4 linked regions of the Stegostoma tigrinum genome follow. The main gene of each other region encodes a partner of the protein of the gene in region 4 in a complex. Links are inferred from orthologs where the notes say so. Each region holds a gene or a part of one and is shown on either strand. Other genes may lie near its edges.

Evidence for each region.
Region 1: ercc2 (region 4) and polr2j share a complex: the UniProt entries of both Homo sapiens proteins name them as parts of the TBP-based Pol II pre-initiation complex. The link is inferred for Stegostoma tigrinum from reciprocal best matches to the Homo sapiens genes ERCC2 and POLR2J.
Region 2: the proteins of ercc2 (region 4) and mnat1 are in contact, whole or in part, in a crystal structure (PDB 6TUN), measured with the Homo sapiens proteins. The link is inferred for Stegostoma tigrinum from reciprocal best matches to the Homo sapiens genes ERCC2 and MNAT1. Residues at the interface, in NP_000391.1 of Homo sapiens: Lys274, Tyr285, Ala318, Val319, Pro320, Gly321, Ser322, Arg324, Thr325, Glu327, His328, Arg334, Arg335, Glu338, Gln363, Arg364, Val365, Cys366, Gln368, Lys370; in NP_002422.1 of Homo sapiens: Val68, Glu71, Val72, Arg75, Lys76, Leu79, Arg85, Glu86, Leu92, Tyr95, Asn96, Asp97, Leu99, Glu100, Glu103, Glu104, Phe107.
Region 3: ercc2 (region 4) and ciao1 share a complex: the UniProt entries of both Homo sapiens proteins name them as parts of the MMXD complex. The link is inferred for Stegostoma tigrinum from reciprocal best matches to the Homo sapiens genes ERCC2 and CIAO1.

The regions. Positions count from the first base shown.
Region 1 is NC_081380.1:9,533,346-9,541,009, forward strand, and holds the start of polr2j (DNA-directed RNA polymerase II subunit RPB11-a), read left to right. Parts: upstream 1-4,642; 5' UTR 4,643-4,660; coding exon 4,661-4,716; exon of another isoform or gene 4,717-4,769; coding exon of another isoform or gene 4,770-4,822; intron 4,823-7,664. UniProt on the Homo sapiens protein: Core component of RNA polymerase II (Pol II), a DNA-dependent RNA polymerase which synthesizes mRNA precursors and many functional non-coding RNAs using the four ribonucleoside triphosphates as substrates.
Region 2 is NC_081363.1:30,268,854-30,275,887, forward strand, and holds the start of mnat1 (CDK-activating kinase assembly factor MAT1), read right to left. Parts: upstream 3,011-7,034; 5' UTR 2,907-3,010; intron 1-2,906.
Region 3 is NC_081393.1:10,328,654-10,335,515, forward strand, and holds the start of ciao1 (probable cytosolic iron-sulfur protein assembly protein ciao1), read right to left. Parts: upstream 3,015-6,862; 5' UTR 2,961-3,014; coding exon 2,822-2,960; intron 2,724-2,821; coding exon 2,575-2,723; intron 1,142-2,574; coding exon 1,030-1,141; intron 1-1,029. Other genes in the region: tmem127 (transmembrane protein 127), read left to right, coding at 3,273-3,513, 4,701-4,865, 6,285-6,592. UniProt on the Homo sapiens protein: Key component of the cytosolic iron-sulfur protein assembly (CIA) complex, a multiprotein complex that mediates the incorporation of iron-sulfur cluster into extramitochondrial Fe/S proteins.
Region 4 is NC_081392.1:21,346,452-21,354,435, reverse strand, and holds the start of ercc2 (general transcription and DNA repair factor IIH helicase subunit XPD), read right to left. Parts: upstream 3,004-7,984; 5' UTR 2,916-3,003; coding exon 2,911-2,915; intron 1,570-2,910; exon of another isoform or gene 1,235-1,569; intron 1-1,234. UniProt on the Homo sapiens protein: ATP-dependent 5'-3' DNA helicase. Component of the general transcription and DNA repair factor IIH (TFIIH) core complex, not absolutely essential for minimal transcription in vitro.

The sequences.
Region 1 (7,664 bases), on a different chromosome or scaffold from region 4:
CCTCCTTTGGCCCAGAGATTCCTGTTTGTTTTGAATTATGCAAGATATAGTCCATGACAAAATAAACAAAGTTGTAAATGTATATTTCCTGTAATTAATCTTTTGAACGGTTTGTAAATGTATTTGTGTCCTGTAACATGCTGACAGATGTGAATCATGGGCATCAGCCAGTCTTGCTGTAGTCTACAGAGAGACCAGCTCCTCTAGCCTGAAACTGTAGGATGCTGTGTCCCTGTTGTATTCAGGGACAGCAACCAGACTGTAACATCAAACAAACATCCTGGTGCAGAGTGTCAACAAGCAGGGTATGATTGGACCTGCCTGGGTTGACCCTCAGATCTGGGATTCTTTATTTTCATGTTAAAAAGCTCTCAGTAACACAAGAAAATGAAGGACAGACAAATGGAGCTCCTCTTCTAGACACCCCTCCACTCAGAAGCCCTGGTCACCAGGACCCCGTCATTCTTGGAATCTGCTGCCCCCTCCTGGGGACAAGAGGGTCACTTGCCTCTGGGAATTGTGCTTGGAGACAGAGTGATGCACCTGCAGAAGGAGTTAATTCCCGTTAAAGCATTGGAGGCTGTGTTTGGGATGGAGGGTGGTGGTCATGCCTTTGGAGCATCAATCACATTAGTTACTTATAGTCCATGTAACATGTGTATAATACTCTACTGGATCCAGCTTACAGTATTCAGCACTCTCTTCAATCCTGCACATAACCTGCAGTCCTCTGGGGTGCAGTGGTACTTTCCTTGACTCTGAGACAGGAGGCCTACATTTCAAGTCGCACCTGATGCTGAGGTGTGTAATGTCACTTCTGGGCAGGTTGATTAGAAAATATTTTTGCTTTATGGTCCTGTACTTTGGCTCTCACCTCCCATCAAGATAAACATTATGATGTAATGAGGGCAATCAAACACAATGTTCCATCATGTGTAGTATTCTCATAGCTACATTATTTTGTACATAGCACTTACTATTAATATGTTACCCTAAATAAGTTATCCTGTCACAAAGTTACACATTCCATTTTGTATTCATACACAAAATACATTATCATATTTTTTTAACTGCCGTAAAGAGTGGCATCCCTACAATACCCTGATGTTTGAGGAGCTGTTAATCCTGATTGCTCCCTTGTTTATCACTTTAGCATCTCTTACTCTTCTGTACAACATCTGACAGAATATTTCACTATTCTTTATAGTGCCATGTGGTGTTCCCTGCAATCAATAACCACACCCTGCCATATACACATTAGAGGCATCGTACCTGTGTTTTACATCTTCATACTTGTGTTTAAAGCTTCAATTTTAGGTAATAGATCACCAAATGATGTTCATCAGGGCCCCAAATCTGTTATTGTGACCTGATCAAGCCCAAATACTGATGTCACGGTCGACCGTTATATTGCGCTACCATGCCCTTTGGAATTGTTCCTGTCCCCTTTGGCTGTCCAACTGTTTGATTACATTCTACTAGGAACAGCAGTAAATGTCTCTGCAGTTGATGTTACAATGACTGTTCCGCAGTAGATAAATGCACAGCTATTGGTAACAGCAGACTGGGACATTATTATTGGAAATTACTGAATGTGCCAGTGACACCAAAACTCAGCATTTGTTTTGTGGAATTGGCATGAAATTTGTGTGAATGAACACCCTCAAAAAATGGACATGTGCAAACAGTGAGTTCTTCGTGAGCGATCCAGGTGACTTGTAATATGAAAGATGTACATGGTACTCGCAAACAAATTACAAAGTACTGACAATCTTCAATCTGCTAGGTTCTTCCACACCTTAAAATGTGACACTCAAAGCTGCTGTTTTTCAGAATCTGCGCTGAGTTGAGTTCACTGCATTCCCCTGACAGATTGTTCCTGTTCTGCCTGTGTTCTTAGGAGGGCAGTCCATGAGGATTTTTAACAGCAGGTTTTGTGAAAGATGGTTGTGGGATGGAGATCCTTGTAGCCAGCCCCTGCACACGTTGCTGTACTTTGACTTAACTCAAGATGATGGCTCTGCAGCACACAGGAGGGCTGGGAAGGGGGTCTCCATATGGTGAATCACCTCTCTTGAAGGCTGTGTAAGGTCAAACGTTGAAAAGCAATTTCTGCCACAAGTATTGCGCATGAAGCTGCCATGAGACCTTGTGGGCTTTTTTGGTGTCTGCTGTCAGGCCATTGGTCTGTCTGGGAGGGATGTCACCATTTCCCTCCTTCGCCAGCTAGGCACTCCCAGCTGTATTCACTTTGGGATGAACAGCACTCTCTCTGGGATAGAATGCTGAGGCCATTTTACGCCAGAGATAGAACAGTTTCCCTGCCCCTATAGGTGGTGGGTAAAGAATTCCCTTTTGCCCTATAAAATTGCAGAGCTATCATTTTAAGAATATGGACATTGCAAAAGGTGGATACCAGTTGCTAAGGGTCTGTAATGTACAGCTTTTAATATACAATAAGCTTATTGTCCAGTCTAGAGACATAGCTGCATGCACTAAATGGGAACTTTATATATACCATGGCTCTCCTACATGGCAGATGCTGAGGAAGTGCTCATCCACCTTGGTCTGAACAGCTTTAGGATTTGAGAATTAAACTCCCTCATGAATGGTGCTTTGGATCGAATGCCATATCAATCATTCCACAGCATTGATCGATGACAATGTCATTGATATGTATGAGTCTCTGTACACTTATTTCTATTAAATGTAAGATATTGTTCTAGATGCATGTAAATTTCTCTTTTATAACCTGTTTAAAACAATAAAGTACTTTGTTGATTGAATTGTTTTCTTTATGATTTGGTTTTGACCGGTAGTGCAGATCCTCATTAAGAACGTTAGCATTGGACACCTAGAAAAACCAACTCCAGGAGATCTCTGCAGGAGTTCCTCAGTGTAGTGACCTCGGCCCAAGCACCTTCAGCTGCTTCGTCAATGACCTTCCCTCCATCAGAAGGTCAGAAGTGGGGATGTTCGCCGATGATTGCACAATGTTCAGCACCATTCATGACTCCTCAGATACTGAAGCAGTCCATGTTCACATGCAACAAGATCAGGACAATTTCCAGGCTTGGGCTGACAAGTGGCAAGTGACATTTGCACCACACAAATGCCAGGCTATGACCATCACCAGTAAGAGACAATCTAACCACCGTCCCTTGACATTCAATGGTGTCACTGAATCCCCCACTATCAGCATCCTGGGGGTTACCATTGACCAGAAACTCACCTGGACCCACCACATTAACAGAGTGGTTACAAGAGCAGGCCAGAAGCTGGAAATACTGCGGTGGGTAACTCACCTCCTGACTCCTCAAAGCCTGTCCACCATCTACAAGGCACGAGCCAGGAGTGTGATGGAATACTCCCCACTTGCCTGGATGATTAGAACCCCAACAACACTCAAGAAGTTTGACACCATCCAGGACCGCTTGATTAGCACTACATCCCCAAACATCTACTCCCTCCACCACCAGACGCTCAGTAGCAACAGTGTGTACCATCTACAAGGTACACTGCAGAAATTCACCAAAGATCCTTAGCACCTTCCAAACCCACGACCACTTCCATCTAGAAGATCAGATATATGGGAACACCACCTCCTCCAGGTTCCCTTCCAAGTCACTCACCATTCTGACTTGGAAATATATCAACATTCCTTCACTGTCGCTGGGTCAAAATCCTGGAATTCCCTCCCTAATAGCATTGTTGGTCAACCCAGAGCAAGAGGACTGCTGCGGTTCAAGAAGACAGCTCACCACCACCTTCTCAAGGGCAACCGGGGATGGGCAAGAAATGCTGGTCTGCCAGCGACGCCCACATCCCACCAAATGAATAGAAAAAAATTGGAAAGAGTCAACATAGTTTAGTCAAAGAGGAACCATACTTAACCAATTTATTGGAATTGTTTGAAGGAGTAACATGCGCTGTGGGTAAAGAGGAGTCTGTAGGCACATGAGGGATCTTGGGGTCCATGTCCATAGATACCTAAAAGTTGCTACCCAAGTTGATAGGGTTGTTAAGAAGACGCATGGTCTGTTGGCTTTCATTTGCAGGGGAATTCAGTTTAAGGGCTACGAAGTTATTGCTGCATGTCTGTAAAACCCTGGTTAGACCATACTTGGAATATTGTGTTCAGTTCCGGGCGCCTCACTGTAGGAAGGATGTGGAAGCTTTAGAGAGGATGCAGAAGAGATTTAACTAGGACGCTGCCGGCTTCCCCCGCAAGTTGCTGGGCGCGCTGTTCTCATAGGTTCCAAGAGGGCGCGCTGTTCTCAGAGGTTCCAGGAGGGCGCGCTGTTCTCGGAGGTTCCAGGAGGGCGCGCTGTTCTCGGAGGTTCCAGGAGGGGGCGCTGTTCTCGGAGGTTCCAGGAGGGCGCGCTGTTCTCGGAGGTTCCAGGAGGGTGCGCTGTTCTCGGAGGGCCGGGAGGGCACGCTGTTTTCGGAGAGTCCGGCTGTTCTCGGAGTGTCCGGGGGTGGGGGTGCGCTGTTCTCGGAGTGGCCGGGAGGTCCCGCTGTTTTCGGAGTGGCCGGGGTGGGGGAACGGTGTTCTCGGAGAGTCCGTGAGGGCGCGCTGTTCTCGGAAGTGCCGGGGACTTTGCGGGGGGGCGGGGGGGGAGGGTGCGCTGTTCACGGCGAGTCCGGGGTAGGGGGGAGGATGGGGGCGCGCTGTTCTCGGAGTGGCCGGGAGGAGGCGATATATCCGGAGTTGCGGTGAGTGTGATAATCACTCTTGCTGCTCGTGGTGTCTGTTTGTTTGTTCCGGGATGAACGCGCCGCCGGCTTTCGAGAGCTTTCTGCTTTTCGAGGGAGAGAAGAAGTGAGTGAGTGAGTGAGGGTGGTGAAGGGGGGAGGGATGGAGGGAGGGTGGTGAAGGGGGAATGAGGATGGGGGTCCGGTCCGTCAGTCTCACCCCAGGGTCAGCTCCCGCTAATTTCACGTCATCCACCGGCCGCTCACCATCAGGCCGCCCCGGTATTGATATTCCATTACACATCGCTGCTAATTTCCTGCAATTAAGTGTTTGGAATACTTGGAGCCATTTTCACCCCCGATCCAAACGCTGCCTGTGGTTACTGACTCCATCCCTTTCCTTGGCCACAGTTTTAGATTAAGCCTGACTGAAACTTTGCTGCTTTATCCGAGATGAGCTTCTCACCTCATCTACCAGACCATTAACGGACTGACCTATCCCCTCCCTAACTACCCACTTACACCCACCTGCCATCCCTGCCCCTTTGACCTGTCTGTCTCCTCTCCATCTATCTTCTCGTCTCTCCATCTTCTATCTGCCTCCCCCCCCTCTCCCTGTTTATTTCAGATCCCTCTTCCTCTCCCCCATTTCTGAAGAAGGGTCTCGGCCTGAAACAGCTGACTGACCTGAGCAGCTTCTCTGTTCCTCTGCTGCTTGACCTGCTGTGTTCATCCAGCTCTACACCTTGTTATCTCAGATTCTCCAGCATCTGTAGTGCCTACTATCTCTGAAACCATTAACACTGCCAGTTTTCAAGTCGGTAGGACCTTTCATCTGCTGAAATCTGGTGGCCATGGGTACCCATATGGGCCCAAGCTGTGCCTGCCTCTTTGTAGATTACATGGAACAGTCCCTCTTCCGCATCTACACAGGCCCCAAACCCCACCTCTTCCTCTGTTACATTGATGACTGTCTCGGCACCGCCTCATACTCCCAAGAGGAGCTCGAACAGTTCATCCACTTCACCAACACCTTCCACCCCAACCTTCAGTTCACCTGGGCCATCTCCAGCACATCCCTCATCTTCCTGGACCTCTCTGTCTCTATCTTGGGCAACAACCTGGAAGCCGATGTCCATTTCAAGTCCACCGACTCCCCAGCTGCCTAGAATATACCACCTTCCTGCAAAGGTTCCATCGCCTATTCCCAATTCCTTGGCCTCCGCCGCATCTGCTCCAAGGATGAGGCATTCCACTCCCGCACATCCCAGATGTCCACGTTCTTCAAGGACCGCAACTTTCTCCCTGGTGGTCGAGAACGCCCTTGACTGCGTCTCCTGCATTCCCCGCAAAACATCCCTCACACCCCACCCCCGCAATAACCGCCAAAACAGAATCCCCCTCCATCCTCACATACCACCCAACCAACCTCCGGATACAACGCATTATCCTCCTACGCTTCCACCATCTACAATCCGCCCCCACCACTAAAGACATTTTTCCATCCCCACCCTTGTCTGCCTTCCGGAGAGACCACTGTCTCCGTGACTCCCTTGTCCGCTCCACACTCCCCTCCAACCCCACCCCACTTGGCACCTTCCCCTGCAACCGCAGGAAGTGCTACACTTGTCCCCACACCACCTCCCTCACCCCCATCCCAGGGGCCAAGATGACTTTCCACATCAAGCAGATGTTCACCTGCACATCTGCCAACGTGGTATACTGCATCCACTGTACCCATTGTGGCTACCTCTACATTGGGGAAACTAAGTGGAAGCTTGGGGACCGCTTTGCAGAACACCTACACTCGGTTCGCATTAAACAAATGGACCTTCCAGTTGCGAACCATTTTAACTCCCCCTCCCATTCCTTAGAGAACATGTCCATCATGGGCCTCCTGCAGTGCCACAACGATGCCACCCGAAGGTTGCAGGAACAGCAACTCATATTCCGCTTGGGAACCCGACAGCTCAATGGTATCAATGTGGATTTCACAAGCTTCAAAATCTCCCCTGCCCCCGCCCCCCACTGCATCCCAAAACCCGCCTCCCTACCCTGCTCTTCCTCTCACCTATCCCCTCTTCCAACCTCAAGCCTCACCTCCATCTCCTACCTACTAACCTCATCCCGCCCCCTTGACCTGTCCGCCCTCCCCGACTGACCTATCCCCTCCCTACCTCCCCACCTATCTTCTCCTCTATCCATCTTCAGTCTGCCTCCCCCTCTCTCCCTATTTATTCCAGAATCCTCTCCCCATCCCCCTTTTCTGATGAAGTGTCTAAACCTGAAATGTCAGCTTTTATGCTCCTAAAATGCTGTTTGGCCTGCTGTGTTCATCCAGCTCCACACTTTGTTATTCCTTCATTATTTCCTTACAGCTGGACTGTCCTGATGGTCTTTCAAATTATTCATCTCATTTGACACTTAAACGAAAGGCTTTCTCTTCCTTTCACGTGTTGAGTAATGCTAGCGCGAAAAATCTCAGTACTGATGCTCCTTTGAATTCTCTTCCCCCCCTTTCCCTTTCACTCCATCCCTTCCACTAATCCAACTTTTCACCATATATTCACTGTACCCTCTGACGTTCTCCTTTGTAATGCAAAATTATCTGTGCTCACCTAAGGGTAAAAGAGTGTCCAGGGAGAGAATAGGGCTCCTTAAAGATCGATGAGGCTGTCTATGTGTGGAACCACAGGAGATGGATAAGCTATCAGTCGAATATTTTGTATCTTTACTGTGGAGAAAGGCATGGGAGCTAGGGAACTTGGGGAAATAGTGAAAACAGTCCATATTACAGAAGACGTAGTATTGGAGGTCTTAAAATGCATAAAAGTAGATAAATCTGTGGAACCTGACTTGACATTGTCGGGAGCTAGGGCAGAAATATTTGTATCATCTACAAACACTGGTCAGGTGCCAGAAGTCTACCAAGTGGATAATGTTGTGCTCCAGGAAACTAAAGACCTGTG
Region 2 (7,034 bases), on a different chromosome or scaffold from region 4:
TGTCCATTCCTCATTGGTCAGTATTTGAGATGGTCCCCATTTCCTTATTAAGACTTTATTTTTCAAGTAATAACACTTTGGTAATGTTTTCTGAGGAAATTTCTGAGTAGTCTGTTTGGTGTAACTCTAATGCAAACCTGTTAATTTCTTTTAAATAAGAAATCTTATTCTCTTTGCCTTTATCCTTTTCAGTTAAATTTTTAAAAACTGTATCCAATAACTGAATTTCCAAATCAACTTCCTGCTCCATAGACTTTTCTTCTTTTCTGATTTATGTGTCAAAGATCAAGTGTCTGTGACATTTGTTACAACACAGTCAGGAAATATTCCTTATTGTAACATTCAGTTTCTTTTACCTCCACTACTTGTTCTACCAGACTTGGTGAAGCCAATATGTTTGAACCTGCCAGACCATTTTACAAAATAAGATCAAGTCAATTTGTTTCACCAGTCCAACTACTACTTCTGCACTTAACAAGTCACTCTTTAATCCAACGCTGTATTATGACCCTAGTTTGTAAACTCTATGAAGACCTCCAATTAATGTTTTCTCCTTTAACAACCCCTCTGGAAAATGGTATCATCAGCCAACATTAATGACCAACTTGCTCCAGTGTCTCTCAATATCCTTATTGATTTACATCCTTAATTTGAAACATTAAGTGAATTCTCTCTTTTTGAGATCAAATAATCAGAACCTTGAGCAATTTTTTCTTTGTCAGTCTCTAAAAATGATTTTGCAACTGTCCTAAATCATCATTCCCTTCTTAGAATATCGCAACGAAACATGTTTTCTTTCCATAACGCTAAAACTTTAGGACTGATTTGCTTTCTTAATTCTCCTTTTCTGAAAACATCTCAAATCTTCCTATTGCTGCGATCAGTCTTGCATGTAATTTCCAGCAATGGTTTTAGTATGTCCAGTCTTAATACGATAAAAGCATGTTAATTTCTTGCATGAATGTTTGGTTCCAGTCTTTTCCCATTATTGCTTTGGCATCCTTCTGTCTGCTCTATAAAACTAGTATCTCTTCCACCCACAAATATTCTACTTCCCTTTTCTGTAAGATATTTAGTGGTCAACTCATGTTGTTTAATTTCTCTGGAGTTCAAGTTTTTCAAATTCCACAGCCTATGCAGTTCTCTTTCCATTCCAAATGATCTTATCTCCATTTTCTCTGTTTTTGTTTTTTTTCTGTTTTTCTAGTTCAAATCCTTTTATTAAATATTTCTAATGATATTTTCGCTTACCATAGCTGCAACATTTCAATTTCAGGTTTCCTTTCTCCCACCCTTATGAGCTTCTACTTTTACTTCTACCTTCCATTTACCTGCTATACCTCCCAGTGTAGTTTTAGTCAAAGATTTTAAATAAACCACTGAGATATTTTCCACTTCCAGAAAACTCTTAGCACCATTCAAAGCCATTTTCAATTTCCATGCAATAAACCTCACTACAACAAACATCTTTAGTTACCACGACCACTTCATAGACATTACTTTAATGAGAAAGACACAGATTCATCTTAATTGTCCTGATCCCAGCTGATGTTACAACTCAAAAAAAACCCCAACCTTACAATAAGTGATATTAAAAATATACATAAATTAAGGTCTACTTCAGAGAGGAAAGTGCTTTTGGTATATTTGGTAATACAATTAGTATTAGTCATGCTACTAATGCCGAGTGGGGAAGGATGCCCATAGAAGATTTTCAGCAGAAGATTGAGTTTCTTTCGATAACAGTTAAGGTTTATTACATATTGATTAATAACTAGTTACATTACATCTAAGATACACAATGGTTTCTTATGAAACATCAGGCTCAACTTCAATGTAAGTACAGGTTATTAACAGCCACATGGACTTGTCATGAGACTAAACAACAACTGAAATGTGCGCGCGCGCACGCACACACACACACACACACACACACACACACACACACACACAAGCCCCTCCCACAATTAGACTCTTCTGTCCTGATTGGTAGAGCTTATCTTGTGATATTGGTTCCCACTATTCCCACTATTAATAGCTTTATGCAATTTGCAATTTATCATATTTACAATGAGGTGGCAACAATTAAATATATTAAAGAAATAAATATTAAATAAACTAAAAAAATTAAAACAACCTCATTTTTGTTCAAATAAAATATAATAACTGTCGTGACTATAACAATATTGGCCAGGTGGACCTCATTGAATATAATTCTCTGATTGGGACTGTTAACCTGTTCCAGTCAGGGAGCCCTAGCTGATATAAACTGGAGTGTCAGAGGTTCTGTTCACTCTGAGAGCTGGTTCTGCGAAAGCTGGGCCAGTGTCAAGTACGGTACTATGCACCAGTAAAAAATGAGCGAATTGGGGATGGTATACCAGCCTCTGTGCAGTTATTTCAATAACAATGAATGTTAAAAGGCTTGAAATGAAAGCAGTAAAATCTTGAAAACAGCCAGTAACTTTACTTTTGTCATTGTCACTTAGGATATCATTTGTGATTTTCATTGGAGATACTTTGGTCCTGAGACAGGGGTGGAAACCTGATCAAAGGAATTCAGAGATGGCAGGAACTGCAGATGCTGGAGAATCTGAGATAACAAGTTGTAGAGCTGGATGAACTCAGCAGGCTGTTGCTGCTGGGCCTGCTGTGTTCATCCAGCTCTACACCTTATTATCAAAGGAATTCAGACTGTAAGTTCTAGAAAAGTTGTATACAGATTTTGGGAGATGACAGCACTTTCAAGGACTTTGGAGTGGTAAAGAAACTTATAGATGGACAGGGGGGTCAAGGAATACTTTCTTTGAGAAAAGGTGTGGTGACTGCAGATTTGAAAGAGACAGAACCTGAAAAGAGAGCATTTTCAACAATAGTAAGACAATCAACCTTTGAAAATTACTCACCAGTTAACACGTAACTAACATATAATGTATAGCTCTGTATCGGAAATCGATCTCTGAAGCATTTTAATGAAAGTTAACACAGCTGTTAACCCATTTCTTCTCTTATAGGTGTTGATCTCCACTCTACCAGCAGTTACTATTTTCACATTCCTTTAAATATTTGCCTACACTGGCTAAAAAATGTGGTCAAACCACTCCATCAACACTCAACTATCCAGTTGCTTTCTGTTTGTGTTTACAGTAAATGCAAGAGTGCAAGATTAAATACTTTAAACATTCTAAATGTTATAATTTCTTAGGAAAGAATACAATATTTGCTATAGGTCTACTGCATTGGGATTATGAAAGTGTTTTCATTTACCTTATCACAACTCTAACCCAATGAAATCAATGACTTTCAATGCAATTTATTCCTTTGATGATATTCTGACGTATACGTTTGACCCTCCAAATGTTCTCTTCAACTTGCCAGCAGGACAGCAAATATCATTTCACCTGGTGAGATCTGTGCAATTGTGACTTGAATACACAAAAGTGTCATCAAGATACCATTTCTCTCCTGAAAATTGCTAAACCTGGTCTATAGAAGCCTGGAATCAAACTGTATCATTTGAGCATTTTGGTTCACACTTGTACTTTCTCCATCTGCTAAGGCACCGTCAGCGTTATAGACTCACATTGTCCCTTGATACACTGCTGAATCTAAGTTAAGAGATGACCAGACACTTTGTTTCTTGTTTCCAAAAAGCTAATTTTGATCAGGAAAAGTGCAATATTTATTGAGGTCAGAAATCATACATACATTTACTAACCCAAGACCATTCTGCCAGTTGAAATGCTAGAATTCTGAGTCACATCCTGTTCTCAAAATTTGAGTGCCTATGTGTTAAAAGTTCTAGAATTGCAGGATTAGATTGAACAGGATTTTCTATTTTGGATGTAACAAAAGTGTTGGGTGTCGTTGAGCTAGTCTCTTGTGCCACACCCCAGAGTGAGTTGGGTGTATGCGTCTTGAGCATGGATTAAATGATGAATCACATTGGCTGGGTGGAGCAGAAGTTCTCACACCTGCCAGGACCTTCTTGGTCAAAGGTGCTTGCCCTTTAGTTAAAGGTCACAAAGGCAGCCTTTCACCTCAAATCAGGAATACCAGAGGGGTTTAGATTGGTCACCCCCATATCCCTGGAGAGGTCACAGACCAGGCACAGCTTGGGCTCAGGATTTAACAATGCTTTGCTAGAAGTTATACTGCAGACCATCCACAAAAAGGGGCATGACACCAGGGTCTCATATCAGACAAGGTCTGTGATATCCAAGGTCCCAGTGTAAGTCAGTGAATATGGCCATCATTGAGGAGTGGTTCAGTGGCTCAGTGGTTAGCGCTGCTGCCTCACAGTGGCAGGGACCATGCTTGATTCCACCCTCAGGCAACTGTCGGTGTTGAGTTTGCACATTCTCCCTGTGTCTGCATGGATTTACTCCAGTTCCTCTGGTTTCCTCCCACAGTCCAAAGATGTGCAGGTTAGGTGGATTAGAACATAGAACAATAGAACAATACAGCACAGAACAGGCCCTTAGCTGTGGGAAATGCAAGGTTATGGAGAGGGGATGTGAGTCTGGTTGGGGGATGCTTACCAAAAGGTTAGTGAGCCAAACAGCTTGCTTCTGAACTGTAGGGATTCTATGAAGTGAAATGCAAGGAAAGAATGAACGACCTTCTAGGGTCAGGAAAGGGTGAACGTCACCATCTTCTCATTTATGGTTAACATTAATTAGGGAAACACTCAGTCTAACTGTGTCACTGGACAGGCACATCACATACATCTATAAGACTCAGGATCATGTGCACTGAAGGACTCACAGTCATCCTGTGTTTCCTGCTTATTTAAACAGCAGGCCCATCATGCAGGGTTATGCATGCTCACAAAGTACTTGAACACCCATTGTCATAAAACTCAATCTCTCCCTTTCATTCATTGCAGGACAAGCTCGTGCACAACAGGAGGGACTGGGTTCAGACCAGCAGAGGTATCCAATATCCAAATCATCATGACTTTTAAACAACAAGCCAGAGAGCTAGCATGAGAACCATGGGCTGTCATGCATTGATCAAGACAATAAAATCAGAATGGAAAAACAAGCTAGCAAGGAGCATTACTGTTTGCTCTTCTCAGATGCATGTCAGTCTCGCACATTTATGTTTATCAGGCATTGTGCATATCAGGCAACCAATTGTTACTTGACTCTTCAACAGGTATGAGCAGCCAGCAGTGGTCCCAAGATGAAGATCCCACAATCAGAGTCCAGCTGAATCAGTGACATTGTGAAGGGTGCAATAGCTAAATATGACGCAGAGACACAATCTGGTGAGCACATCATTGACATGAGTCGACTGCTGCAGGAGGAAGAAATGCCCAAGGCTTCTTTTACTCAAAGGACTGTAGGAGACCAGGCACCTGTTGAGCCTACATGCAAAAGATGTGACTCTGATCGCTGCCATTTCTCAGCAGAAAGAGGTAGAGAAACATCAGCTCATGATAGTGAAGGTCCTCACTAGTCTTGTGCAGAAGATGGCTGAGTCCATCCAACTGCTGTCATGGCTTCAGCGTGCAATCATTTGGCTGCCTATGTGGAAAGTGTGGTGGCTGTATTGGAGAGTCAAGTCCATCAAAATCCTCCCATCAAAATCCTCAGGGGCTGCCATGTTTGTTCTCGAGCCTACACTCCATCACTCTAGTCAAAGGTACACAGCATGTATGATAAAGTGAGAGAGAACGGGATACCTCAGCCTCATTCCAGGTGTCCCGTTTTCTCAAGGGGACAGTGTGGTGCCAGCAGACACCCACAGGGAAGAAAAATGACTGCCATGAACACAAAGAGCTTTGCCTCAGGTCACTCCACAAGTGGTCGGTTCACCTCCCCTCTGCTAGGGACTCCACTATTTACAAGAACTCAGGCTGAAGATAATGTGCCTGCATCTGTGCATGAGGACTTTCAGGAGACCAGGCCCCTAGAGCTACCAGTGGATGTTGTCAAGCCCTTCATTGTGAAAAGGGCATAACCAGTTAGCGAGCTCCCTTTTTCCCCAGCTGCAGATGTAGGACAGGTCCTGGACATAGTGGGAAGCAGAACAAAAATACATTTTGAGGACGCATTAGTGGCATGGTGTTTAAGCGATGTATACACACTGCACGAATGTAAATATGCATTCCTTGAACATTTGTCTCATATCCCAAATAGGTGCTGACATGGCTGTCTGAAGTGAAAGCAGCAGAATGTATTCTCTACAACAAGGAGATGCTGTTCTTCTCTTTGGTTATCTCACATCATCAGCCTGAAGTTGTTCTTATAACTGAGTGAACCATAGAGTTAGCATTTTGGGGATTGCATTAAGGCTCCTGAGATTTTAAAAACATCTTTTCATGGGATTTTGCACAAGAATTTGTTGTTCATCCATAGCTGCTGTTGAACTGAGTGGCTTGCTAGGCTATTTCAAAGGGCCATTAACAGTCAGCCATATTGCTGCAGGTCTCGACTCACTTGTAGCTAACTTCCCCGAAGCACATCAGTGAACCAGCTGGATCTTTACAATAACAAGGTATAGAGCTGGATGAACACAGCAGGCCAAGCAGCATCAGAGGAGCAGGAAGGTTGATGTTTTGGGCCTAGACCCTGCTTCAGAAGGGTCTAGGCCTGAAATGTCAGCTTTCCTGCTCCTCTGATGCTGCTTGGCCTGCTGTGTTCATCCAGCTCTACACCATGTTATCTCAGATTCTCCAGCATCTGCAGTTCCTACTATCCCTGGATCTTTACAATAATTGATTATAGTCCCATGGTCACCATTACTGAGACAAGCTTTCAATTCCAAATTTATAAATTGAATTTAAATTTCATCAGATACCTTTGTGAGATTTAAACCATGCTCCCTGGATTTCTGGATTAATAATTCAGGAACATTACCATGATGCCACCAGCACCACCCATTGTATCCAGGAACACTGACTTTATCTGATGAGTTCACAAAAGGCTATAAGGCCTAGGAATGTAACTGTCTCCTGGTCCTTGCAGACACAGGTGATCATCTAACATCCAGGAAATGTAGGGTACAACTTCCCAGGTTATCCTGAG
Region 3 (6,862 bases), on a different chromosome or scaffold from region 4:
ATGAAACAGGACAAGGAACTGGTCCTGGAGTCTATTGCATCACCTGATTAGTTTCTGAAACTGTTAATGCAGTTGGAACATTATTCTTCAGTATCTCAGACTCAATCTCATCATAAATCAAGTTTTGCAATGGCCACACCTTTTGGGGCAAAAGGGAAGTTACATGTTTAAACAGTGCTCTGGATGGAAGTTATGTCTTGGTTTAGCCAGTGACTAGCCCTGAAATGTTAACTCTGAATTTTTTTTCCCCGCAGACGCTGCCAGATCAGCTAAGCTTTTCCAGCATCTTCTGTTTTTGTTCCTGATTTACAGCATCCGCAGCTTTTTCAGTTTTTATGTGAAATCTGATTCTATTTGACTCTTGCATCCACTCAAGGTTTATTGTGCCTTTGTAACGTTTTTCTCCCATCTACATTTTTTTATGTCTTGTGCTTCGTTATCATTGAGACAATACATGATCTTTAAAGGAGTTGATGGCAGAGGGTTGACATCATTACAATCGGAATTGACAGGCCAAGGTCAACGTTCTGCAGAATGTGGGTTTAGAACAGGACAGCCAGTCAAATTTAAATTCAGTTAACAAAATATGGAACTGAAAACAGATCTGAGCAACAGTGACCATAATACTATTAATGTGTGTATTAATTTGATGGATGATTTTTGGCTATGGAAACCTGCAATTCTTACTAGTTCACCAATCACAGTCATTGAGTCTTAACAAGTTGGGACAGCCCATGAAAGAATACACCCTTTATACAAATTATCAATATCGTGGGTGACTTTTAAGGCTCAACAGCCAAGACATATCTCATTGAATTATGCAAATTTCAAGTATAAAAGAGGCTTTCCAGCCCAGCATGTTTGTGCCAGCTGAGTCTGCTTTTAAGATTCAGAACTTCAAGTGCATCTCCACCAACTGTTTAAAATATTAAGCGGTTTCTGCTTCTACCACCATTTAAGACAGGTGTCTCGGGTGCTTTTTACAGAATGGCATTTTCAAAGGGTATTCTATGCAAAATATCTTCTCACCTTCCCAAACCCATACACTTTTATCCCGGCTGCAAGTTGCAAGGAGATTGCCAGATGGAGCCCAGGCGACAGATTTCACTTCATTCTCGTGTCCTTCCAGTGTTGTCAAAAGCTATGAAAACAAACACTAGGCCTGAGAAACAAACGCTCAAACTTATACCGAGTCCATTCCATTCAAACAGTTCATAGAAGACCCAATGTAACTAACAACTTTATCTCATGTTTTAAGCTGACACAAGACTCAAGTTATAAATAAAACTGCTGCCAGAAATGTCGCCAGCATTATTTTGAAAACATTATTTCCAAAAGCCGTTTCAGAACGCAACGATAGCAGTGGGTTTGGCAGGGTGTTCTGCTCATCTGCGTCTTGCAGACTGATAAAAGCTGTACAGCATGGAAACAGACCATTCAGTCCAACTCAGCCAGATAGTCCAAATTAATCTAATCCTATTTACCAGCATTTGGCCCATATCCCTCAAAACCCTTCCTATTCATATACCCATCCAGGCACCTTATAAATGTTGTGACTGACCCAGCTTCCACCAGTTCATTTGGCAGTTCAATCTGTACACGCACCACCCTGTGCATGAAGAAGTTGCCCCAAGGTCTTTTAAATCTTTCCCCTCTGATGTTTAACGTATGCCCCCTAGTTTTGGACTCACCAACCTTGGGTAAAAAAACCTTAGCTGTTCACCCTATCCATACTTTTACAAACTTCTATAAATAAGGTCACCCCTCAACCTCTGACATTCCAGGGAAAACAGCTCCGGCCTATTTAGCATCTCCTGATAGCTCAAAGACTCCAACACTCGCAACATCCTTCTCTTACTGACTAAAGATCTGTCTCTCATTCTCAAATACGTTTAATAACCCAATCTTGACAGTTGTCTGCAGTGAAGAATTTCACAAATTCACTAGCCCAGGGGAGAAGAAATTCCTCCGTTTCTGTCTTAAATGAATGATCCTTCATGACAAGATTCTGTCCTCAACACCTATTCCCCAATAAAGTGATTTTTTTAAATTCATGAACAGGGTAAGGGCATCACTAGCTTGACTGCATTTATTGCCCATCCCTAATTGCCCAGTGGGCAGTTAAGAGTCAACCACATTGTTGGGGTCTGGAGTCACACGTATGCCAGACCAGGAAAGGATGGCAGTTTCCTTCCCCCAAGGACGTTAGCGGACCAGATGGGTTTTTCCTGACAATCGACAATGGATTCACGATCATTAGATTCTTGATTCCAGACATTGAATTCAAACTCGACCATCCGCCATGGTGGGATTCCAACCCAGGTCCCCAGAACATTATCAGAGGAGCAAGAAAGTTTGACGTTTCGTGTCGGGTCTCGACCTGAAATGTCAAACTTTCCTGCTTCTCTGATGCTACTTGGCCTGTTATGTTCATTCAGCTTCACACCACGTTATCTCAGATTCTCCAGCATCGGCAGTTCCCACTATCTCTCCCCAGAACATTATCTGGGTCTCTGGATGAAGAGTCCAGCAACAAAAACCATGAAGCCATCGCGGGAGTTCAGAGTGCACTACCTCAAATGCGGCCTCCTTCTTCCTCCAGATGCAGGTGGTGGCGTCGAAGCTGACCGAAGCCAGGTAGGTACCGCAGGGCGACCAAGAGACCTTCCGCACGGTCCGCTGGTGCCCATCTTCCAGGAGGCACTTGCACAGCCAGGAGGCCCCTGGGGGGTGTGGAAAAACAAGAGTCGGGAGAATGAAATGCGGTTGTCCAGGCCTCGTACCCCCCGCCCCGGCAGATCAATCGGGAAGCCGCCCGCACCTTCTCTGGCCCAGATACGCACTGCCCGATCGCCTCCACACGAAGCCAGCAGCGTACCGCTCGGGCTCCAGGCCACATACCAGGCCCGGGAGTCGGGATGCGCCAAGAAGCGGGACTCGAGCGTCAACCGCCACTTCATCCCAGGCGCGCGTGTGACCTCCCCCGAACCAGAAGCGCCGTCGCCACACCCACTCCTGCTCCGGATTGGTTAGAGGTCTTGCCCGTATCCAGTTTCTATTGGCTAAGACCCCCGTCCATCAAGCGCAGATATCACCAATCACCAAGGCGCAGTCTGGCCCAACAATTCAGACGTCACATCCGGATCGAAAACGGATGCGAAACTGATGGCTGCGCTGGAATCGTTTATTGTCGTCGTCGTCGTCGTCCGTTACTGATATCGGAGTTTCGGTGGTTCGTTGTTCTCTTGTGGCGGCCCAGGCCGGAAAGGACAATGTATGGACCTGCGGGAGCCGGTCTGTCAGGATCACGCCGGCGTTCCGGAGCTGGGGGTGCTCTACCGAAGCAAACGGAGCGGAGTTTGGCGTCGGCGGTGCCGGGCGCGCTTTCGGTGACTGCGCTGTGCACGGCGCTGGCGGAACCGGCCTGGCTGCGCGCGCACGGGGGTATGTGCCCGCGGCAGGAGCTCGGTGTTGCGGATGTCCTGGGACGCCTGGACTCGGCCCTGCTGGAAGGTAATGAACTGGGAAGGTAATATGTGAGCGTAGGTGGAGACCGAGAGGAGAGGGCGGTGCTGACGCTTCGGCTCGGTATCGTCGGAATGCATTCCGTATTTCCTCTTTCACTGCCTCGATGTTGGACATTTTAGTTTCTCAAGATTGTAACTGTGTCAGATTCCCTGACCACACTCGAAGGATAAATTGGGACTTGTTACTTGTCCACGATACCGAGGGAAAAACGCGCATTTCACGACGACGAGGTGTCCCAAATCCGGCAGCGCAGCAAATAAGGTCCCAGTGACCAGATCGTCCGAAACCCTGTGGGGGAGGGGGCCATTTGGTGCCTCGAGTCAATACAGTTCCTCCGAAGAACATCCCATCCAAACCCCGCAACTTTATCCCTGCAAGCCTGTATTTCCCATGGCTAATCCGTGTAGCCTGCACATCCTTGGTCACTACGGGCAATTTAGCATGGCTGATCCAAATAACTTGCATATCTTTTGGATTGTGAAAGGAAACTGGAGCAGTTGGAAAAAAGCCAGGCAAACCTGGTTAGAATGTAAAGTCCATACAGATTCACCCGAGGGTGGAATTGAACCAGAGCTCCTGGTGCTGTGAGGCAGCAGTGTTAACCATTGAACTACGTGATACTTTAATACCAGATACTGGTCAGAAGTCGAGCGATTTATTACTTGTCGTTTGAAATGGTGCTTTGTAATATGTGTTGTCCACCTGAGAGAGGCTCCATTGTGTCTAGAGGGCATGTCAAACCACACAATACTCCCTCAATTGAGCAGTGAAATGTGAATCTTTGTTGTGAGTCCAACAGTGGACTTGAGCCCATAACCTCTGACTCAGAGGCAAGAGTCTGACCAACAAAGTACCAACTGATAAGAAATAAATTGCTGGAAAATTCCAGCAGGTCTGGCCACATCTGTGGAGCAAAATCAGTGTGACCATTTGGGGTCCATTGACCCTTTTCCAGAACGCTGCCACAGAAATCCATTTGCAACATGAATCTTGACATAAGGAGGAAGATTTTCTTCCCTCTGATGTTAAACAATGAGTTGAAGTTAGTGGAAAGTTACAGTCATGGTTTTTAAAAAAACCTTCTGTTTTATTTTAGTTTCAATGATCTTGAATTTTGCTTGATTGTTGATTATTTGGTGAAACGGCCTGACACTCAATCTTTTGGTCTCCAGATTACTGTATGAACCATCAGACTGTGCTCCTGTTGCGGGTCATTGGTGCCTTCTGTTTCCTGGGGATTATTTGCAGTTTGTCTGCTTTTCTCCTTGATGTATTTGGACCAAAACATCCAGCTTTGAAGATTACTCGTAGATATGCCTTTGCTCATATTCTCACAGGTATGTCCAAGTGAAACTAGATGTTTGTAAATGTGATATCTTGATCTGGCTTTATTTTTAACCCTTAAACCACCATTATGCAAGGTGCTTTTGAAATGATTACATCCTCAGAAGGAAGATGTTTCTACTTTGTGAATCAGCATTTGTGGCATTAATATGAAGTGCATAAGTACTTGGTGACTTCCTCCTTCAGCTCTGCTGCTGAAGTGCATGAGCAGGAGGCCCTTCATTAGCATATTGTTTTTTTTCTTTTGAGTACATATTTTTTCCGTCTTTCTAAATGAAACATGACTGTTGATGCTGTAGATCTGAAACAAAAATGAAAATTGCTGGTGAAATTCACGTCCAGTAGCGCTTGTGGGAGAAAGTAGAGTTCCTGTTTCAAGTCCCGTGACTCTTCATCCAAACGTTCTGAAGAATTGCTCTTAATGTCCTCTAAGTAATTAGGGATGGGCAATAAATGCAGGCTGAAGCAGAGAATGCCCATGTCCCATGAATTATGTGAAAGAGCTGTTTGCCTGTGTTTATTATTCAGAACTGACTAATCATAATTGTTCTGCCATTGTTTGGTGCAGGGTTGTTCCCTTTCTTCATAAGGGGTGATTTGGCACTGCAGTAAACATGAATTTCAGAGAAAAACTCCAAGCGAACAAAGAATAATGCAAATAAATAACTTAAAATGGCTGTAAAAATGTGTCAAACATCAGATGTTCAGCTTTTGGGGTGAGAATCAGGATAGGGAGTGGAGATTGAGCTTGGGCTTGGTTGAATTTAAAACAAATATCAACCAAAATACTCAGACTTGGTATTGCATGCTTCCAGCTGACTTCAGTGGAGTTAGGAGAAAAGTGGGCATCAGGAGCAGGTTACATTTAAGCTTGTGCTGTTGCAACCCGCTTTGTGGGTATGAAGTTGAAAAAAGGAGAAAATGATTTCCGTGTACCCACTTCGCTGTGAACGTTTACCTGTTTACACCTCAGTTCACTCGGAGACAAGATTGCAGTCTTACCCTAGTGTCCTTACTCCATCTCTTGTCCCCTTCCAACCACTTGTGAGCACTCTCTTTGCATGTACAAACTCTGTTGATACACATCACTACCCTTTCCTACTCCAGTTCATGCTACCCCACATGCGTCTTCCTTCCTCCTTTTTCCCGGTGAGAATGATGGCTTTGTTTGCTAGGCTTCCAGTTAGACCCCAGTTGTTTCCCATGTTTCCTGCTGATTGGTTCACTAAATTGTCTGTACTTCGAGGAGCATCTCATTGCATAACCTTCCAATTCTGTTTGGAATCCTGGCAACAAACCTTATGGTGTTGAAGCCTGGTGGATAAGGATGAATTAGCCATGAGTTCTGTTCAGATTTTGTTCTGGCACCCACCATCCTTGCTCCACTCACTGTCTTTGTTTGTTGTTTGCAGTTCTGCAGTGTGCCACGGTGATTGGATTCTGCTACTGGGCCTCAGAATTAATCCTCGCACTTCAGCAGCAACACAAAAAATATCATGGTTCCCGTGTCTATGTGACCTTTGCAGTTAGCTTTTACTTAGTGGCAGGTGCTGGAGGAGCATCCATTTTGGCGACGGCTGCTAACCTCCTTCGACACTACCCAACTGAGGAAGAGGAACAAGCACTGGAACTGCTATCAGAAATGGAAGAGAACGAACCGTATCCAGTGGAATATGAAATTGTCAACCAGTTCCAGCCTCCACCTGCCTACACACCCTGAATCTCAGGGCACGTTATTTTCTCATCTCAAGTCTCACTTCACTTGACTGTTCAGACATGTTCAGTGGAATTCTCAACCTCAAGCACTTCACTCCAACGCCGCCTCATCCTTCCTGCTTAGAGGCCGAATCCTCTGATCATCTCAACTACAAAAATGTTGGTTATATTTTCAGTGAATCAACTTGTTCAGACATGTTATGGTGCTTGTCTAGGATAGGTGATACAAGAACCTGGGTGTTCTAGCTCAGAGGTAGATATACTACCCCTGAGT
Region 4 (7,984 bases):
ACCAACAAACCATTTGCCTTCCCTATAACCTACTAAATTGTAAATTAGTATTTTATGAATATGTACAAGGATATTCACGTGTTACAGCTTTCTGCTGTCCTTCTCCGTCTGAGTAACATTCAGCCTTTTTATTTTTCTTGCTAAAATGTATTCTCTTATGTTTTCCCATATTAAGCTACATCTTCCAAGTTTTACCCATATATTTAGCTTGTCCACATCCTTCTATAGCATCTAATCATCACTCACCCTTCCACCTAATTTGTGTCATCTCCAAGCTCAGCGACAGTACATACAGCATGGGGTTAGATAACAGAATAAATTTCTTCTGCTTAGTAAACACAAAGTAAAGCATCTTCTACACTGTCTTCATCAAACAGTCCCAAGGCAGGTACAACACAGAGTTAAATAAAGAGTAAAGCTGTCTCTACTCTTTTAAACTGAAAGTAAACCAAGTAAGGCTCCCCTGACACTTCCCCTATTAAAAAGCTCTTTTAACAGGTACATCATTGGGTTGATGCAGAGCCTTTTAAACGGAAATTGAGGCTCCCTTTACACTGTACATTCCAAGCACTCCAAGGACAGGGGCATCACAGGATTAGAAACAGAATAACGCTTCCTCTACTCCTTTAAACAGCTAGTAAAATGTCTCTCGAACTATCTCCATCAAACACTCCCAGGCACAGCATGGGGTTAAATTCTGAGTTAAAGTGCCTGCTATCTTCTCTTTTAAACTGAAAGGAAACTTTCCTCTACATTGTCTCCATCAAACACATGCAAGACTAGAGGGTTAGACACAAAACAATTCTCTATCTACTGTTTTAAACAGAAAGTAAATGTCCCTCAACAATGTCCCAGTCAAAAAACCTCAGGGCAGGGCTAGCACCCAGTTAGAGAGAGAATAAAGCTTGTTCTAAACTATCCCGATAAGTATTTCCAATTTGCATCCAAGTTGTATTTCAGTTAATGTCACATGAAACATCAACAGACAATAGACAATAGGTGCTGGAGTGGGCCATTCAGCCCTTCGGGCCAGCACCACCATTCATTATGATCATGGCTGATCATCCACAATCAGTATCCTGTTCCTGCCTTATCCCCATAACCCTTGATTCCACTACCTTTAAGAGATCTGTCTATCTCGTTCTTGAAAGCAACTTATCAAAAAACCTGTAACATTGAGAATTTGAGAACATTGTTGTATCAAGTGACTGAGAATAAAGGAATGGAACTCAACAACAATCTCCTTGCAGACAGGCCACACGTGGATGTGAAGGTTATATAACTGGCAAAGGGTTCAGTCAGCAGTGAAGGTACCACCTCAGCAATTATTCACTGGGGTCCAGGGCCCCAATTTATGCAGAACCGGCTCCCATTTCTCCCCATCCCCTGAAGCTCCACTTCTCTCTTGCTGTAACTCCTCTTGTTCCTTCAGTTCTCCCCTTCATCTCTCAATCCGTGTTCCTCCTCACTCCCTCATTTCTCAATCCGTGTTCCTCCTCACTCCCTCATCTCTCAATCCGTGTTCCTCCTCACTCCCTCATCTCTCAATCCGTGTTCCTCCTCACTCCCTCATCTCTCCCTCCCTCCCTGTTCCTCCTCATTCCCTCATCTCTCCCTCCCTCCCTGTTCCTCCTCATTCCCTCATCTCTCCGTCCCTCCCTCTCTGTTCCTCCTCACTCCCTCATCTGTCCGTCCCTCCCTCCCTGTTCCTCCTCACTCCCTCATCTCTCCCTCCCTCCCTGTTCCTCCTCACTCCCTCATCTCTCCCTCCCTCCCTGTTCCTCCTCACTCCCTCATCTCTCCCTCCCACCCTGTGCCTCCTCACTCCCTCATCTCTCCCTCCCTCCCTCCCTGTTCCTCCTCACTCCCTCATCTCTCCCTCCCTGTTCCTCCTCACTCCCTCATCTCTCCCTCCCTCCCTGTTCCTCCTCACTCCCTCATCTCTCCCTCCCTCCCTGTTCCTCCTCACTCCCTCATCTCTCCCTCCCTCCCTGTTCCTCCTCACTCCCTCCCTCCCTGTTCCTCCTCACTCCCTCCCTCCCTGTTCCTCCTCACTCCCTCCCTCCCTCCCTGTTCCTCCTCACTCCCTCCCTCCCTCCCTGTTCCTCCTCACTCCCTCATCTCTCCCTCCCTGTTCCTCCTCACTCCCTCATCTCTCCCTCCCTCCCTGTTCCTCCTCACTCCCTCATCTCTCCCTCCCTCCCTGTTCCTCCTCACTCCCTCATCTCTCCCTCCCTCCCTGTTCCTCCTCACTCCCTCATCTCTCCCTCCCTCCCTGTTCCTCCTCACTCCCTCATCTCTCCCTCCCTCCATCCCTGTTCCTCCTCATTCCCTCATCTCTCCCTCCCTCCATCCCTGTTCCTCCTCATTCCCTCCCTCCCTGTTCCTCCTCACTCCCTCATCTCTCCCTCCCTCCCTGTTCCTCCTCACTCCCTCATCTCTCCCTCCCTCCCTGTTCCTCCTCACTCCCTCCCTCCCTGTTCCTCCTCACTCCCTCCCTCCCTGTTCCTCCTCACTCCCTCCCTCCCTGTTCCTCCTCACTCCCTCCCTCCCTGTTCCTCCTCACTCCCTCATCTCTCCCTCCCTGTTCCTCCTCACTCCCTCCCTGTTCCTCATCTCTCCCTCCCTGTTCCTCCTCACTCCCTCATCTCTCCCTCCCTGTTCCTCATCACTCCCTCCCTCCCTGTTCCTCATCACTCCCTCCCTCCCTGTTCCTCATCACTCCCTCCCTCCCTGTTCCTCATCTCTCCCTCCCTGTTCCTCCTCACACTCTCCCTCCCTGTTCCTCCTCACTCCCTCATCTCTCCAGCCCTCACTCTCTGTTCCTCCTCACTCCCTCCCTGTTCCTCATCTCTCCCTCTCTGTTCCTCCTCACTCCCTCATCTCTCCTTCCCTCTCTCCCTCATTCACCTCATTTTCACCGCTTCAGTTCCACGTCCCGCCCTCTCCAGTCTCCACCAATCACAGATCCACTTTCCCAGTCTTTGCTCTCCACTGGTTGCATTGTCTGTCCATCTGTTCCCTTCCCACCTCCTGCAGCCTTTTGCAATCGAACACCGCTCCGACGGCCAGGTAGAGGAGTTGGGCGTCGATAGCTCTGAAGGATAGATGGAGTAGCTCCTCCTTCTTGCACTAAGAACACATTCACATTGACTGTAACTGCAGAGAGCTCTGACCCACATTATTCTCATCACACACAGGCCACTTTATTTCAGGAAATCATCCATCTTGTTCCCTCCAAACAAACAATCTCAGTGTCATTTAGCACAGAGGAGGTCTTTCGGCCCATCGAATCCCATTCCTTTGACATTTGAAGACCAAGAATCCACACAGCAGGACCTCTGCTCTTCCTGTCCAATTGTAATGAGGCTTATTCTTGTGCTCCAGAACCTGGACTTAACAATTTTCACACTTTGGCTAAATTAATCTGATACTATCCTGAATTTTGGTCAGCCACAGATGGGTCACTTTTCCTAGGGAATTCGTCTACCACTGAATAAAGTTTCATTATTAATTTTAAAGCATTTCTTTCAGTGGCTGTCACATCTTATCAAATTCCACAGCATTTATTCCACTTTCACAAACAATCTTCCTTGACTCCGTGGTTACCACTGCTAAAACACAGCACGAAGTACCTAGATTTAATCCCGGCCTCAGGTGACTGTCTGCGTGGAGTTTGCACATTCTCTCCTGACTGTGTGGGTTTCCTCCCACAGTCTAAGGACGTGCAGATTAGTTGGACTGGCCATGCTAAATTGCCCAGGTATCCTGAGAAGTGTAAGGTAGGTGGATTAGCCATGGTCAATAGAGGGAAAGGATTTGGATGGGGTGCTCTTCAGAGGATCAGTATGGACTTGATGGCCTGCTTCTGTGCTCAAGGGATCCATGATTTGTTCCTCACACATGACATACCGTAGTTGGTTTTATTTAACCTCAATATCCTTATCTTGAATTTAAGTATGCGTGTTTCAAACTGAATGTAAAAGAGCCCTATTTTGTTATTGTTCTGCCTCAATGGATCTTTGATATCATACACAATATTAAAGCTGAAGCATCAGTCGGCATTATTGAGCGGTTTCTGCTGCATCTGATCTGATGATATTACCTTGCACTAGGCCTCTAATATGATATTTTTGCTCAACTAAGGATACTCCACGCCATCATGTTTGACACGACCCTCAAACATTCAACCATGTCTGACCCACCTCTACCACGTCTGCCCTCACCTATTCCCCTCCCTTCCACAACAACAATTGGGTTCGTCTAAACCTCACTTTCCACCCCACCAGTCCCTAAATTCTAAGGATTATCCTCTGCCATTTCTGCAGCCATCAGCAGGATGCCACCATCAAATAAATCTTTCCTTAACCTCCCATGTCAGCATTCCACAGGAACTCCACTAGATACTGGCCCAATCCTAGATCACTCCTAACTCTTCCTCATTCTCCAATGGCACCTTCCCGTGCAGCCAGAGAAGGTGTATTTACCTTCCATTTACATTCCCCCTCACTGCTTAAGGCACCAAATACACAAACCAGGTGAAACAGCATTTTACTTGTACTTCTTTCAATCTAATCTACAGTATTTGCTGCTCATAATGCAGTCTCCTCTGCATTGCAGACTGGCTGACCACTTTGCAGAACACTTCTGCTCTGTCCATAAGAATGACTCCAACTTCAACCTTCCAGTCACATGCCATTTTAATAAACCATATGGTTCTCATATTAACATTTGCATTGGGACTGCTGTATTTCTCCAAAGATACACAATGTAAGTTCAACCAACAACAGCCAGGCTTCCACTTAGGCACTTTACAGCCAATAGGATTCAATGTTGAAATCCAAAAGACAAAACCATTACTGGATGTATTCCTGGCAGCTTTCATGAAGAGTCATCCAGACTTGAAACATTAGCTTGTTCTCTGTCTGTGGATGATGCCTGACCCATTGTGTTTTTCAGTGATTTTTTTGAGCTCAGTAGAGATCAGGAGGTTTTTGGGAATTATTTAGGAATTTATTTTGATGGTCTATTGAGGATATTATTGAGGAAGATTGGGGGATGATTTTAATGGTTTGTTTAGGGTGTTTATGAGGAGGGTTTTTGGGGATTATTTAATGAGTTATTTTAATGGTTTATTTAGGGTGGTATTGAGGATTTTGGGGATTATTTAGTAATTTATTTTAAAGAATTATTTAGGGTGTTATCGAGGAGGTTTTTTGGGGATTATTTAGTGATTTATTTTAATGTATTATTTAAGGGTGTCATTGAGGAGGTTTTGGGGATTTAGTGATATATTTTATGGATTATTTAGGGTGTTATTGAGTGGGTTATTGACTGGGTTTTTGAAGCTTATTAACATAAGAACTAGGAACAGGAGTAGGCCATTCGGCCCCTTGAGCCTGCCCCACCATTCAATAAGATCATGGCTGATCTTTTTGAGACTCAGCTCCACTTACCTGCCCACACACCGTAACCCTTAATTCTTTCACTGTTCAAAAATTTATCTAGCCTTGTCTTAAACACATTCCGTGAGGTAGCTTCAACCGCTTCACTGGGCATGGAATCCACAGATTCACAACCCTTTGGGTGAAGAAGTTCCTCCTGACCTCAGTCCTACATCTGCTTCCCTTTATTTTGAGGCGATGCCTTCTAGTCCTAGTTTCACCTGCTAGCGGAAACAACCTCCCTGCCTCCACCTTATCTATTCCCTTCATAATCTTATATGTTTCTATAAGATCTCCCCTCATTCTTCTGAATTCCAATGAGTATAACCCCAGCCCGCTCAGCCTCTCGTCATGACCCAACCCTCTCAACTCTGGAATCAACCGAGTGAATCTCCTCTACACTCCCTCCAGTGCTAGTATATCTCTTCTCAAGTAAGGAGACCAAAAACTGCACACTGTACTCCAGGTGTGGCCTCACCAGGACCCTATACAGCTGCAGCATAGCCTCCCTGTTTTTAAACTCCATCCCTCCAGCAATGGCAGACAAAATTCCATTTGCCTTTTTAATTACCTGCTGCACCTGCAATCCTACTTTTAGCGATTCATGCACAAGGACACCCAAGTCCCTCTACTGCAATGTTTTACCATTTAAAACATAGTCTATTTTGCTGTTATTCCTACCAAAATGGATGACCTCACACTTATCAACATTGTACTCAATCTGCCAGACCTTTGCCCACTCACTTAGGCTATCTATATCCCTCTGTAGACTTTCAGTCTTTTGCACACTTTGCTCTACTACTCATCTTACAGTCATCTGCAAATTTTGACACACCACACTTAGTTCCCAAATCTAAATCATCTATGTAAATTGTAAACAATTGTGGTCCCAACACTGATCCCTGAGGCACACCACTAGCCACTGACCGCCAACTAGAAAAACACGCCTTTACCCCTACTCTTTGCTTTCCACTAGTCAACCAATCCTCTATATGCCAATACATTACCTGTAATGCTGTGCAACATTATCTTATACAACAGCCTTTGGTGTGGCACCTTGTCAAATGCCTTCCGGAAATCCAGATACACCACACCCACAGGCTCCCCATTGTCCATATCCAAGTAATGTCCTCAAAGAATTTCACCAAATTAGTTAAACATGACCTACCCTTCATGAACCCATGCTGTGTGTTCCCAGTGGGAGAATTTATATGTACACAGATCCTTGAAAGTTGCCACCCAGGTTGACAGGGCTATTAAGAAGGCATACAGTGTTTTAGCTTTTATTAATAGAGGGATTGAGTTCCGGAACCAAGAAGTTATGCTGCAGCTGTACAAAACTCTGTTGCGGCCGCACTTGGAGTATTGTTTACAGTTCTGGTCACCGCATTATAAGAAGGATGTGGAAGCTTTGGAAAGGGTGCAGAGGAGATTTACTAGGATGTTGCCTGGTATGAAGGGAAGGTCTTATGAGGAAAGACTGAGAGACTTGAGGCTGTTTTCGTTAGAGAGAAGAAGGTTGAGGGTGACTTAATTGAAACATATAAAATAATCAGAGGGTTAGATAGGGTGGATAGGGAGAGCCTTTTTCCTAGGATGGTGACGGCGAGCATGAGGGGGCATAGCTTTAAATTGAGGTGTGAAAGATATAGGACAGATGTCAGAGGTAGTTTCTTTACTCAGAGAGTAGTAAGGGAATGGAACACTTTGCCCGCAACGGTAGTAGATTCGCCAACTTTAAGTACGTTTAAGTCATTATTGGACAAGCATATGGACGTACATGGAATAGTGTAGGTTAGATGGGCTTCAGATCGGTATGACAGGTCGGCACAACATCAAGGGCCGAAGGGCCTGTACTGTGCTATAATTTTCTATGTTCTATATCCAGATGTCTTGCTATTTCTTCTTTAATGATAGATTCAAGCATTTTCCCCACTGCTGAAGTTAAGCTAACCGGCCTATAGTTAAAGGTAACTATACTGTCTTTTTCTTCTTTTTGCAAACAGTGGCGTCACATTGGCTGTTTTCCAATCTGCGGGAACTGTCCCAAAGCCCAGTGAATTCTGGTAAATAATTACTAGTGCATTTGCTATTTCCCCCATCACCTCTTTTAGTACCCTGGGATGCATTTCATCAGGGCCAGGAGACTTGTCTACCTTTAGCCCCCATTAGCTTGCCCAGCATTGCCTCCTTAATGGTAATGATAGTTTCTAGCTCCTCACCTGCTATAACCTACTTGCCATTAGTTTTCGGCATGTTATTTGCGTCTTCCACTGTGAAGACCGACACAAAATGACTGTTTAATGTCTTGGCTATTTCCACATTCCCAGTTATTAAACTGGCCTTCTCATCCTCTGAAGGACCAATGTTTACCTTTGCCACACTTTTACGATTTACATATCTATAGAAACTTTTGCTGCCTGTTTTTATATTTTGAGCTAGCTTACTCTTACAATCTATTTTATTTTTCTTTATAATTGTTTTTGGCATTCTGTTGCCCTTTAAAGCTTTCCCAGTCTACTAGTTTCCCAATAAACTTT